Alligator mississippiensis: one gene and its partner. The protein of the gene in region 1 interacts with the protein of each later gene in a pairwise test. Links are inferred from orthologs where the notes say so. Each region holds a gene or a part of one and is shown in the gene's direction. Other genes may lie near its edges.

Region 1 (7,000 bases):
GTGACAGCCAAGCATCACTTTTCCCCAGAGAAGAAAAGGATTTGGTGCAGATAGGTGGGGAGAACAGAAAGGTCAACAACAGTTAGCCCCTCATTGTGACTGATGACAATGAACACGAACTTCTCTTCTTCCCTGGTATTGCATTTGAAGATTCCAGAGATGCAGTTGACATGGGGCATCTCCAGGTGACAGTCTCTGCACACCAGCTAACTGTCTTGAAGGGAAGGCAGAGTGGGAGGAGGGACACACACAGCCCTGTCTCTAGCCACACAGGGAATTCTGCCTCAGTCTTCCTCCCTGCCCCGCTCCTGCTTGAGCCCACTGGGCCTCACTTCTTTCCTAGAACTGGGCATAGTACAGGCCCCTCCCTTCTGCTCGGGTGGATCAATGAGTGTTGGAGACATTGTAATCGCCCCTTAAAGTGATGTCTGTGTCTCTGTGAGGAGCCACCTAAGACACAAAGATACCCCACCCCCACAAAAAAAAAAAGCACGGTGCATCTTTTTTTTTTCCCCAAATGAAGCAGTTACTGGGTTCAGTCTCTAGCACGGGGAAAGGAGGGAAGTAATCTGGATCAGAGCAGTAGGCTGGGAGCCACAATTGGGTTCTCTTCTCCTCCCTGGGAAGAGAATGGGGTCTTGTGGGTTGAAGCGGAAGAAAAAAATAGAGGTGTGCTAGCAAAGATCTTCGGCCAAACCAATGGGGTTTGGACCTGCCCAAAAATGAAGAGGTGTTGCACATTCCAGGGCTCACAACCTCCACTGCCCTCTGGGACTACTGTTTCTCATGTCACCATCAACCACACTGTGGCTTTGCACTGCACTAACCTGGAGCTGCCAACACCTGCCCTACAGGGAAGTATGAAGCCTGGTCTGCAGAGAAAGCACCCCAGCTGGTTAACTGAACAACTGCTCCAGCTCTATATCCACAATGTCATCGGACATTGGGCTCTTCACAGTGATAACCCACCATTACCACCAATGGCCACCTGCTCCTCACAGGCCGCACAGCAAAGGGACAGCCACACCTATTGTAGAAAATGTGGCAGGAAGGCTTGCAGGCAATTCCAAGTAGCTACTGGCAGCTGCAGGGAAAGGAGAGAGGCTGGGTAGCATGTATAAGATCTGTTTCCCTTGGTTTTCTGAAGTTGGTGCTTGGTGCAATGCAAGGTACTGGAAGGGCCTATAATCCTGGTAGGTGTGCACACTCACCAGGATGCAATTACATTTCTCTGTCCCACCTCAGTCTCCTGGCCCTGATATCACCCATTCTTGGCTACCTGGAGCTCATCTCAACTTTGTTCTGTTCAGACACAGCAATATCCCCATTCCTCACAGGAAGCAGATCCACACAGAGGTTACTTAACATTGCTTTACAAAGCTTGTTCTCCACAACTGATGCAGCAAGGAGATCCTGCTGGAGCACAGCCAGCTCAAGAGAACCAGAATCTTTGCTGGTGTCCAGATGAGTCCTGGACTCAGCTGTGCCTCGGGAGGGCAGAACATATCTGGCTAGTGGAGAGATGTATAGAAGGGTAGAGTCATGGTGAGCACACAGCAAAGCAAGGCCTCTTCCATCTTGTATGGGACAATGCTACAGAAACTCACACACTTTGACGTTTTTCCGGTGGTCTGTGTCACTACCCCATGTTACCCACTACCCCAGGCTACCTTCAGGCCTGCTCTGTTGTCAAAGACTCCGTACTGCTAAGAGCAAATGGGACAGGCTGCCTTAGTCCCAAATGAATGAGCCCTGAGTTGAAAGTTTGATGACAGCCCTGGGGAGAGGGTAACCCCATGTGACTCCCTCATGGGACAAGGCAGAATTGTCATTTTCCCCACAAGAGGATGAGAACCTCTACTGGACCTCCCTCCTGGGTTCCTAGTCTAACTGGAACAAATCTGTCCTGACTTTAGGCCCCACTCCCCTCCCAAAGCCAAGGACAGAAACCAGGAGTCCTTCCCCCCCCCCCCCCCCCCCGGTCCTTCAGCTTTGATCTCCTGGAGCTCATGTTTTTTGTCAGGGCTGGGCATAGAGCCCAGGTGTCCTGACTCCCAGCCCATGCTACTGACTCCATGCCTGGGGGGATTCCTTCTAGGCAGGAACTGTTCTCTGTGTGGGCAGCTCTTGCTCAGTCTCTGCTCAGTCACCTCTGTCTACCCACATTCCCAAGAAGTTACCTGTGGGTGCCAACTCCTAGGGTATTCCAGGAGGATAAAGTTCGTCCATGGCTGTCTCTCCTCTCACTTCAGACTGCAGTTTCTACCAGCTGGAAGCTCTCTCCTACCCTGCCCCAGCACCTGCCTTTGACCCAGAGGAGCCCAGCATGGCCTGAGCCCTGCTCCTTACTGCATGTGCCCTGTTCTGTTTTGTGCTTGTAGGTAAGTCCTATCAGCAGGAGCTGCACTCAGACGTGAAACACACAGGGCTTGTCCTGCTTTTGAGGTAGGGAGGGCAGGAATTGTCTCCCCATGGCAGCGTGGCTGGCACAGGGCTCCCAGGGCGAGGACAGCAGGGGAGGCAGTCCCAAGCCTGCAGTGGGCAGCCGGCATTTGCCCCCCACCGTGGACTCTGCTCGGCTCTGCTCCAGCTATGCTGCCCGGTGATGGTGGTGGGGGCATCATCTTAGGCTCCCTGGCAAAAATATGTCAGCACCTATGCTCCTTGCTTGTCATTAGCCAGACACTCATCCTGCCCTCAGGCCAGGGGCAGATTGAAGTAAGGGAGGCTGAGGTGAGTGATGCTCAAAGCAAGCCCGCTGGGAAGTAGCATAACTGAGGGGGGCAATCTGTTTCCATGTGGGGGTGGCGCAAATAGCCACTGCTGCAGCAGCCACAATCCACATGTCACCAACCCACTCTGTCCCAGGAGCCTGCGGTTACCCCAAGTGCAGAGCTGCTCTGCTACGCCTCCGCCAACACAAGGGATCAGGGCTGGCAGGTGGTTTGGTGTGGTGGCCATGGTGTGACACATGCTCATCTCATGTCTCTCTCTAGCCAATGCTCTGGGCCCTGTGTACCTCCTGAGACAAACTGTGTGCCTGAATGCTCCGGATCCCGCCTCTCCATCTTCATCATGACCCATAAGGACTGAGGTGTCTTGCTGTCCTGTTCTTGTTTCCCTCAGTAGCTCTGGCTGCAGCGCCTTCTCCCCCTTGGCAGCCAAAGGCAACAGCCCCTCCCTTTTTCTCCCAACATTATCTTCTCACCTGCCAGCTGATGCTGATCCCAGTAGCTGACCAAGTGAAACCTCATCCCATCTTGGCCCCAAGAGCAGGAGAGTAACAACCCCCACAAGGTACGTGCCCACAGCTGCTCCTGACCAGCCTCTCCTGCCTTGTTCTGTCCTATCCTGCCCAAAGGGCATCCCGTGTCCCACCACAGCCACCTCCTGCCCGTCTCCTCAGGCCTGCCCCACAGCAGGGAAGGGGGGTGGCAGAGGGCAGCCACGTGCCCAGAGCTCAGCCCTGCTTCCCTCCCTCAGGGCTGGCAGCAGACAACCAGGTGGGCCTGAAGGTAATGGGCTGCGCTATGCCAGCGAGATATGCAAGGGGACCTGGGAGTTCAATGATGGGTAGTACATGGTGTTCAAGTGCTGCACCACCCACGACAACTGCAATGAGGGCGAGCACCTGCTCGCTGGTGCCAGGCTGAGTAGGGAGGCACTGGGTTCCCCTGAATCTTCCACCTCTCACCCCACAGCGCCCCCCGGGCCAATTACAGCAGAACCCCCCAGCCCACGCCTCCCTCTCTTTTTTTCCAGAGGGATTTTTTTTTGCAGGAAAGAGGGCAAAAGGCACTGCATCCCCCCGCCCCCAATGCGGACACCACCCCAGGTACTGCATCCCCCGCCCCTTTTGGGGACATCCCCTCCCCCCTTGTTGAGGCGTCAATTACCCCCCAGCACGTACAACATCGTGGGGGGCGGGGCTCATCTTGGTACGCTCCAAAAGGGGGCGGGGGGATGACGGCTGCCCGGGATGATACTGCAAAGTCCCCGTTGCGGGCCGCCGCCGCGTCCCCCGGGCGCTAACTTGGTCCGTCCCAGGAGGGGCCGAGGCGCTCGCTGTACTTGGTACGTTCCACGTGGATGCCTTTAGGAGCGGGGGGGGCGGGACCCGTGATTTGGGCGGTTCCACAAGGGAAAGGGGGCGGGGTGGCTTCAAGTCTGGATGGGAGGTTGCTCATTTTGGTACGGTCCACAGAGAGGCGATGGGATTTGGTCCTCTCCAGCAGGTGGGCGGGGCCCGCGCATGTGGTACGGCCCGAAAGAGGGGGTCGAAGGAATGAATGGTACGGATCACTAAGAGGGGCGGGGCGCGATGGTACGGCCCGCGATGCTGGGGGTACGTGCGGGAAATCAGTGTATTCCGTACAGCCCAGGCATGGAGGAGGGTGGGGGACGCAGGCCCGGCGTGTGTGCACCTGGTGTCGTAGTTGGGTCGGGGCGGCGGCGTGTGGTACCTTCCAGGACGGCTCGGGGCGCAGCCGGTGCGTTTGGTATATTCTACTGAGGGGCCTTTGACAGGCGGGGAGGAGAGAGGACTGAGTTCCGGTCGGGGAAGGCTTATTTCCGGTCGGAAAAGGCACACTTCCGGCTGGGGACTGGCCGCGGCCTGGTCATCGCGCCTCGTCTCCCGCCTGCTTTACCCTGGTCGCTGCGGCCGCGGCCCGCGCGTGGGAGCCGCTATGATCCTCCCGCGCCTCCTGCTTTGGCCCGCGTCTCCTGGCTGCAGCGGAGGAAACGCACTTCCGGCAACGTAGCGGAGGCTTCCGGGCCCCGAGCCAGTCCGTCACTTCCGGCGCTGGGCCCAGGCTCGGCGTCCGTGCAGGGAGGAGCGGGCGGGCCGGGCCGGGCCGGGCCGGGGCTGGGGCTCGCGCGGCCGCAGGTGAGTGCGCGGCCGGTGAGCCCCTGTCCCGTGCCCCGCCCAAGGGGGCGGGCGCGGTGCCCGGGGCAAAAGTCGCCCCTGGGACGCGGGACGCGGTGGGCCCTCCCCCCCCCCCCCGGTCCCAGCGCTGCCGCGCTGTCCCTGCTGCTGCCTGTGACCCTCGTCCCAGCCTGTCTCCTCCCCACGGCTCCGGGCAGTGCCCGCGGCCGCTGCGGGGTGCTGGTTGTGACCCTGCCACCCTCCGTCTCACTCCCCTCTGCAGCATGTTCGTCTCCAGCAGTCGGCGGCTGTGCTCTGTGTCCCCCCTTCTAAGGGGCATAGATGTTTGTGGTGGGCCTCACAGTTTCCTGCTCTCCCCCGCTGCAGTTTGGGGACGTGTGCGGTCCCCCTCACTTCCTTCCATCCTTGCCCTTGTCTGAAAGATGGGTAATGCAGGGTGTTCGGTGCTTCGTAGGGGGACTGGGCAGAGTCGAGACAGATGGGGGAATCGTCTTGCTTGGACGCTGCAGGCAATTGTAGAGGAGCCCAAAGCTGCGCTGAGAGATGACACTGGCTTCCTTATTCTTCCCCTTCTAATTTTTCAGCCCCGCCCCCCACCTCAGGTCCCTGGAGGTTCTGCTTTGCTCAGACAAGTGCTTCAGAGTCACCCCCTTACAGATCAACAAGCGTCTTGCAGCATGTCAGGCTTTCTTACTTGAAGCTGCTTTGATTTCCACGTGCAAAGCCAGACTGTCAGAGCCAAGCAACATGTACAACTTAAAAAACAGTGAACTTCTCCCCGTCACCTGCACAGTTTTGATCTCATTCACTTTCCACCTTTAACATTCAGTGTTGCTCTGCAATGGCTGAGCGCTGCATCCTGCCTCAGAGACAGCTGCGCTTCAGTGCTGGGCAAGCTCTAGGGATGTAAATATCACTTTAAAAATTAGCTGTTTAGACTCTTCTGACTATATTGGTTAACCATTTAACTAATAACACATGCCTGTGGGTTGGGTTGAAGGTCATACAACGCTGGTACAGCAGGATGGACACATTGGGCTGAGGGACTCGTGCTCTAGTACCAATAAATCATGCAAGTACTCGGCCAATGTAATTTGAAAACATAATTCATTTAACTCCACCCTAGCAAACACAAACCATGTGTCAAAAAATGTTAAATGTTAACTGTAATGCATTAATGGTATAAATATAATTATTAGAGGTGCACTGATACATTGGTCCCATAGCGGATCGGCACCGATATAAGGAAAATTGACTGTATTGGCAGTTGGTTTTTTTGCCTGATGTGGCTGATAAGGTAGCAAATAAATGCCCTGTGTATGCGCACAGCCACAGTGCAGCATGCAGGCAGCCAGGAGCACAGCCTGGCAGTTTGGAGAGCAGCCAAATCGAGCTAGTAAGTCTGTTGTGAGGGAAGAGGGGTGGGGGAAATCAAGATCCCTGGGGTGAGGGAAGGAGTGTGGCTAGGGCAAGGGACAGAGAGTGACTCCTCTGGGAAGGGCAGCTCCTGTTGCACACAACCCAGGAGGGCGTTGGGGGCATGTGCCCCGACATCTGTGGGGGGCAAGGGCAGGCTGCTGCTGAGGGCTGGGGCCAGGGGTGGCACCAGGCTGTTCCCAGCAGGGGGGTTGGGCCGGGCTGTGCTTGGGGCAGGCGCCAGTGGTGCTGGAACTGGGGACTATCGCAAACTTAGGGGTGACTGCAGCCCCCCCATAGCTACCCTCCCAGCACCACTGCTGCCAGCCCTGAGCACAGTGTAGCCCAGGACTCTTCCAGGAAGAGCTTTGCACCACTCCCAGCCCACAATGGTAGCTCACCTTTGCCCCATGCAGATCTGGGGGCACCACTACCCCCCGCCATGCCCTCATAGGGTGCGTGCAGTTCCAGGAGCTACCCCCCGGACAAGCTGCTCATGGCTTCATCCTGTGCCCCACCCTGGCTGTGCATGACCTGTCCCAGCTCCACTCCCACCCTCACTGTGGGGGCAATGATCTGCCTGCCCCCCCCCCGCCTCCCCCCAATGCCTCTTCACACGCAACAGACTTACCAGCCAGACACTGCTCTCCAAGCTGCACGGCTACATTTTGGTAATCGGATCTGTATCGACCGATA
Region 2 (7,040 bases), on another chromosome or scaffold:
AACTAAGAAAGAAGAGAATCAGGTCCATTATTGTTAAGAAACTCAAGAGTTTACCTACATAGGCAGTTTACACTGGTGTAAACAAGGTTGCATTAATATAAAAAGAAGGGTGTGCACATGACTTAACTTGCACAGGTGTAACCAATGAGTTGCTTCAGAGATGTTATTCTCTTTGGAACCAATAGTAACTTTACGCTGGAGTGATGTTGTGTGCCTCTGTCTGTGGTCCAGAGATCAGTCCATAGTATAAAGCTAGTTGAACAAGATTTTTTACAGGAAGTCAGCACAGACACACATTTTATCTCAAGCACAGACATCCTCACAGAAGGGGACACTGATGAAAGCAGGACTGATGATTCCTATCAAGAGGTTGTGCCTGACAGCCAGGAGTTTTTCATTTCAAAGGAGCTGGAGTAAGATCCTACACAAAGACTGAGCTGAACTCCCTGAGCCTGCCCAGCTCTATTGCTGAGAACACTCAGGCTACCAACAAAGCTGCAAAGGAAATGGCAGACATCACTGTTTGCTTTTTTATTATAAGTGACTGAGCAAAACCCTTCTGTGACAGAGAGCACAATGCAATAAACATGAAGATTCAGCCATAGTTCGTGGCCATTATGAAGAGGCAAGGTTGTTGATGAACATGTTCCAAAGCTGCCACTCACCTTCTACTTTTTCCCACCCAGCACCATGGTAGCCAGAAGCTTTTCCAGACTTTTGAAAACTCACCTGACTGGGAGCAAACATTCACTAGTTGGACCCTGTGTCACAGCTCATTCCAGTCTGGCAGGGAAATGACCTTCAGCACCCTCTCAAACCAAGGCCCCACCACCAAGGCCCAATGTTCCCACATAGCCCCACAGATGCTGTTCACCTTTGTGTACCTGTCCTCCAAGTTCTTATGTAAAATCTCCCTTACCCTTTAATTTAATCCACACTGCTTGTTCACAATATATTTTAAATGTTCCAGGTTTTCTACTCCTGGCACTGTTTGTTCTGGTACCACTCCAAGTCAGATATTGTTTAATTATAAAATAAATTTATTTCCACACATCCATCTGTGCATCTTTGTTTGCAGAATGCATGGGAATCTGAAGAGGTTCTACATAGCATGTCAACAATAAGCCCACTTTACCTGGAGGCCCAGACATGCATACTGGACATATACTAAAAGATACCTGATATTTAAAATGAATGAAAGTGCACACAGCATGCACAATAAATCCTGCTGATCAACTGCACAAGATCCTGTCAGTAAACTGACATGCACCACTGTATTTAAAATCCATAAAACCAACACTTCATAGCTAGAACATCCCCAAAAGCCTATCTAAACCATTATGCCCTTTCCTCAAAGTAGTTGCACAGGACATCTCAAATAATGTGTCCCAAGAATTTGTCATCAGTTAGGCTGGTCAAACTGTCATAAAAATCTCCAAACCAAACCAAACCAAACCAAATCAAACCAAACCAAACCACTCAGCCTTCAGCAAGGAGAGCAAGGGAGAAGTATGATATGGGGAAGGAAGGTGCCCTTGGTTCTGTTCCTTATTCCCAATGCTGTTCATGCATCCAGTAGTCCTGGGATAAAATGTATAAACACCATTGGGAGCACCACCACGGCTTCACAATTATTGTAGTGGCTGCCTCACAAGATACAAAGTTTTGCTCCCTCCCATTTACTGTTCTAGCCCCAGGACTTTTTAATTCCTTCCCTTCCTGTCTCTCAGTCTCAACAGGATGAATGCAGGATACCCTCAATCCGGCCTAGTGGCAAGAGCATTTTTCTGGGAAGTGGAAGAAATGGCTTTAACCTCCGCTCAGGTTCAGTGAAACCTGGCATGCAAGTATCCCATTTTGTGGGCAAATGCCCATGCCACTTGGCTTTTGGCAAAAGGGAAGTGGCTCCTTTCCCTCCTCTTCCATTGCCCAGGTAAACATCTCCACAGGGTTAAGACTGCCAGCTGATGAAGGCACAGACAGTGTACCCTGAGTTGGGGGCCAGAGCACAGGGATTTCCCTAGAATTTCCTATTGTCTGCCTGTAGATAGCTAAGTATGCCCTGGACACACACACATTGCACATATTTCAGGCTGCTCTATTTTTCTAGGGCAGTGATTCTCAATCAGAGTGCCACAGTAGCCTTTGAAGGGTGACGCAGAACGGGGGATAAACACAGGCTCCAGAGAGATGAGTGCAGGCTCATCAGCAGTGACTCCTCCACCCACTCACTGCAACACAGGTTCTTCCCTGCTGGCTACTCCTCTTTCTTCACAGCCCCTCTTCAAGCAGGTAAGAGCTATAAATGAAGTAAATTAGTTTTTGAAATGGGTGCCACTCAATTCACAGAAGTTATGGAGGGATCCTTCAAGTCTCAAAGGGTTAAGAACCACAGCTGTAGGCTACTGTTCAACTGGTACAAACCCCTCTCCCATTTTTCCTGTTGCATCTTTATCCCTTCCCATGCAGAGGGAGAAGGTGTCCTCCTTCACTCACAGTTGTCATTAAATTGTCCAGTATCTGGAATTTAATGGAGTCCAGCCCGGTGGCTGGTTCCGTAAAAGACAACAGCAGAGAAACAAGGAATTCCGTCCTATTAGAGTACCTGTTACCTTTATGGTAGAGTTCAACCCCTCTGAAGGTTGATCAGGCACTGAGAGGCTGTCAGTATAACTAGTTGGCAGGAAAGGCTGGAGTGAGAAAGCAAGAGTGCCAGCTGCTTCCTGCCCAAAATTTAACTGCTTATTCCAGGGAGTGTCAAACTCACCTGGCTTCATGAGCTGGATGAATGGTACAGGGCTCACCCTACAGACTGAATCATGCCCATCCATCCCCATGCCAGATCCAGCACGCTTGGTGCCTGCTCCAGCTCATTTGGGATCTGCGGCGAAGTGGCCTGGCATCGTGAAAGCTTAGCTGCCACCACAGGAACAAACTACATTGCTGGACTTCTCACTGTGCTGCTGGGGCTCGTTTTGCTGCTCTCACCCAGGCAACTGGTTAAACCAGTGAGAGCTGCAGCACTAGAGCCCAAACAGCACCAGATCTAGCTCTGTGGGTCCAACACCCCTGATTTACACTGCTACAACACACTGAACATTCATAGCAGCACACGCAGCACAGGTTTCCAACAGGTGAGTCTTGTATTAGCTCTTACACACTTACATCACTTTCACCCCCCACACCGGCACAGATTGTTACTTGGGCTTCAGCCCAGCAGAAGGGCCAGCAACAAGCAACTTTACATCAGGGCTACAGGGGCCCTGCCTGGCCTGGCAGCAGTGCTGATGGGTAGATGTGATGATGGTCAGATGTACACGGAGAAAACTCCCTGGGGCATCACTGCCCAGATCCCCTGGGATGGGTCAACAGCCCACTCCAACTCAGAGCTGGCACGAATCCCAGTCCCCCAGTCCCAGGCTCCCATTTCTAGACCCCCAGACCCAAACCCAGTCTCCCAGTTCCAATCCCAGCCTGACTCCCAATCCCCGTTTCAATCCCAATCCGCCATTTCTAGTCCCCCAGACTCAATCCCACTTTCCCAGTCCCAATCAAAGACCAGACTCCAGTCTCAATCCCAGCCTGACTCCCAATCCCCGTTTCAATCCCAATACCAGTCTGCCATTTCTAGTCCCCCAGACCCAATTTTAGTCTCAATCCCAGTTGCAAACCCAGTCTGACTCCCAATTCCCTAGTTTTAATCCCAATCCAAGTCTCCCATTTGTAGTCTCCCAGGCCCAATCCCAGCCTGAATTCCGATCCTCCAGTTTCAATCCCAATCCCATCATAAATCCCAGCGTCACCGTCCCAGTTTTGACAATTCCCCAGTCTCAGCCCCGTCCCCAGACGAAAGCCCAACCCGCGGCCAGGCGGAGGGGGCGGGGCCGGGGGCGGGGCCGAGCGCGGTGCACCCGCTCTTGGTCCCCCGTCCGGCGGAACCCGCGCGCTGGCGGCGGAACTCTTGTCTCTGGGCGCGTTGCCGGTCGGCGGAGTGAGGGCGCGGGACCCCGGCGACCGCCTCCTTCCTCCTCCTGCCGCCGCCACCGCTGCTGCCGCTCGCGAAGCTGCTCCGGCCGGGGGGGGGCAGCGTGGGGGTGGCGGGGCTGGTCAGCCGGGGGGGCAGAGCCGCCTCCCCCGAGCCCGCTCCATGGCGGGGAACTTCTGGCAGAGCTCGCACTAGTGAGTGGGGACCCCCTCTCCTCCCCCTGCGGGGCGCACGCGGCCCCGGGCTGTCGGGGGGGAGGCGGGGCGGCCGTTGGGGGAACGTCCCGGGGGGCGGGGGAGGGGTCCTAAACGCACGTGCGAGTGAGTGTCATGGGGGTGCAAGGCGATTCCCGCCCACCACGTTGCTGGTCCCTGCTGTCAGTGCCAGGGGGTCTGAAAACAGCCTTTCTGTAGCCCCTGGTTGTGGGGGCTGCCCATGGGAGTGACCCCAGGGGAGCCGGTCCTGTTCCTAATGGGGTGGTTTTGGTAGGGATGACCCTGCCTCGATGACCTCTGCAGGTCCACTTCTCTATGATGACTAAGCCTGAGCATGTTTTGCGTGTTGGGTCACCAGGGTCTTGAAACAGCCAGTCGTTTTCCTCTGCCTACTTGCTCTTTTGGAAGTCCTTTCATTTTTCTCTCTCTTGCTGCCTGGCTTGGGAGAAGAAAGCTGACTGTGGGCCAGAAAAGAAATCCCATGTTGGGAAAACTGGAAGGCGCACCAGCAGCTGATGGGTTTCACGTCGGTTTCAGGAGGGTGCATAACACACAGATGAGCTGCTCCCCTCTTCCCCCAACATGCACCAAATACACATGCAGGATCTGTGACTGCAGCAGCTCTCCAAGTCAGTCGCAACCACCTCTTCCTCCTCCCTGGGGGCTGTCTGGCATATTTACCAAAGTCTGGCATACAAAACCTAACTCAAAGGTCTGAACTCAAGTAGTAATACTAAGGGGGAAAAAATAACAGGGACCTAGGGCTAGTAATAGACCACAGTATGAATATGAGCCGGCAGCGTGGTGCTGGAGCCAGCAAGGGAAACAATACTCTGGCATGCATCAATCAATGCATCTCAAGCAAAACCAAGGAAGTGATTCTTCTGCTTTACTCAGCACTGGTGAGACTGCAGCTGGAGTACTGCATCCAGTTCTGGGCACCACCCTTTAACAAGGACATGGACAAGCCTGAGAGAGTCCAAAGAAGAGCCACCCATCTGATCAGAGTCTTACACAGCAAGCCATACAAGGAAAGGCTGAGGGACCTGGGATTCTTCAGCTTAAAAAAGAGAAGGCTGGGAGGGGACTTGGTAGCAGCTTTCTGCTATCAGGGGAGTACACCAAGTGAAAAACTGTTCTCCAGAGCACCTTTGGGGAGAACCAAGAGTAATGGCCACAGACTCTTAGAAGACCATTTCTGGCTCAACATTAGGAAAAACTTCTTCACAAGTTAGGGTGTCCAGACTGCACCACCTTTGGAGGGAGCTCATTCCACAATCGCCTACCCTGGAAATCGTCAAGAGGAGACTGGACAGTCACCTTGCGGGGGGCACCTGACCAAGTATCTTTCTTGCCAAGTGCAGGGGGGCTGGACCTGATGATCTTCCAAAGTCCGTTCCAGCCCCTAACAATCTATGAATTTATAAAACACAGCTGCTCAGTGGGTGCAAAGCCAGCTTTTTAAAACTTGTCTTGCAGTTTTTGCTTTTTAAAAAGCCGTTGCGTTGTTAAGGCTGTCAAAGGAAAGTCTTGGGGAATGCTTGTGTTGGTCTTTACTTAGTATCTAATAATCTGCACCGAGGTGCAAGGTGGCAAAGATACAACCTGCAGAAACATGTAATCTGGTCCATGGGGCTTCAGGAGGGATTGGGAATTTGGGGGCAGGGCAAGGAGAGACAGGGGCTACCACTGAATTCTGGCAGGTATTTCAGAGTATGACCAGGGACATATTTCAATGATGGCTGTGGTTCCCTGAGCTGATGCAGATGCTACAAGCCTTGCTAGAGGCCAGATTGAGCCATAAAATCCAAGAGAGATTTGACATCCCTTATCTACACCACAGAGAGGGGGAGAAGGAGATTTAAAAGCTTTTCCTGCAAAGAAAGTCACAGCGAATCAAATATATTTCCCCTATAGAAAAGTTGGCATAGAATGAGCTGTGTCCAAGTATCGTTAGCACTGGGTATATTGAATTTAAATGTGTGGCATCTAAAATAAAATCTGTATGTAGTATATCTCTCAGACTTTATTTTTAACTAATAACTAATGCATTTGACATTTTTAGCGTTGAGAAGGCCTCTTATTTCTGGTGATTATTTTTCCTCAAAGGGCCTGATTTTGAAAGCCCTAATGAGCATTCATTTTGCAAGAATGTATCTAGCATTACAAGACTCAATTAAAGGGATGCACACCAGCCTGTTTCATCCCCAGATATGAACTATACTTTATTTGTTCACAAGTCACTGTATAATATTTGTGAATTATTTTTTTCCCTCCTAGTTTACAGTGGATTTTGGATAAACAAGATCTGTTGAAAGAACGCCAGAAGGACTTGAAATTTCTAGCAGAAGAAGAATATTGGAAACTTCAAATATTTTTTACTAATGGTAAAATGGTTTTATTTTTGATTAGCTGTCTAATTTGGGTCACACCTATGTATCTGAATTCATGGTTCATTTACCTAGAGCTTCGGTTTCTCCTATTTTTATGTATATATTCTCTTAACGTGTTTAAAAAGTTATATTAATATACGCATTTGAAAGATGTATGAACTAGATGCAGGTATATTTCTCAAAGATGTTATGAGAGATCTTGTTAAGTTTTCCTTCCTATTATCAGTCTAGTAAAGTAGGTAACATTCATTTTCTCAGGCATTGAGGCAGAGAATAGGACAGAAAAGTTAAGTGTCTTTATTGCAGGGACGGGCAAACTCCACCCTGTGGGCCAGATCTGGTTGGCTGTGGATTCTTATTTCCCAGCTGCTCCTGCCCTCATGGCTTGGGCCAGTTTCCACGGAGACCCCAGTTGCACCTGTGTGGAAAGTGCAGCCTGGGGTTGCC

Evidence for each region.
Region 2: the proteins of TRIM39 (region 1) and CCNC interact in binary tests that used the Homo sapiens proteins (3 or more experiments, as listed by UniProt). The two-hybrid records come from large-scale screens. The link is inferred for Alligator mississippiensis from reciprocal best matches to the Homo sapiens genes TRIM39 and CCNC.

The regions. Positions count from the first base shown.
Region 1 is NC_081834.1:53,845,864-53,852,863, reverse strand, and holds the start of TRIM39 (E3 ubiquitin-protein ligase TRIM39), read left to right. Parts: upstream 1-3,981; 5' UTR 3,982-4,074; intron 4,075-4,170; exon of another isoform or gene 4,171-4,292; intron 4,293-4,363; exon of another isoform or gene 4,364-4,888; intron 4,889-7,000.
Region 2 is NC_081824.1:85,518,322-85,525,361, reverse strand, and holds the start of CCNC (cyclin-C), read left to right. Parts: upstream 1-4,023; 5' UTR 4,024-4,147; coding exon 4,148-4,179; intron 4,180-6,480; coding exon 6,481-6,587; intron 6,588-7,040. UniProt on the Homo sapiens protein: Component of the Mediator complex, a coactivator involved in regulated gene transcription of nearly all RNA polymerase II-dependent genes.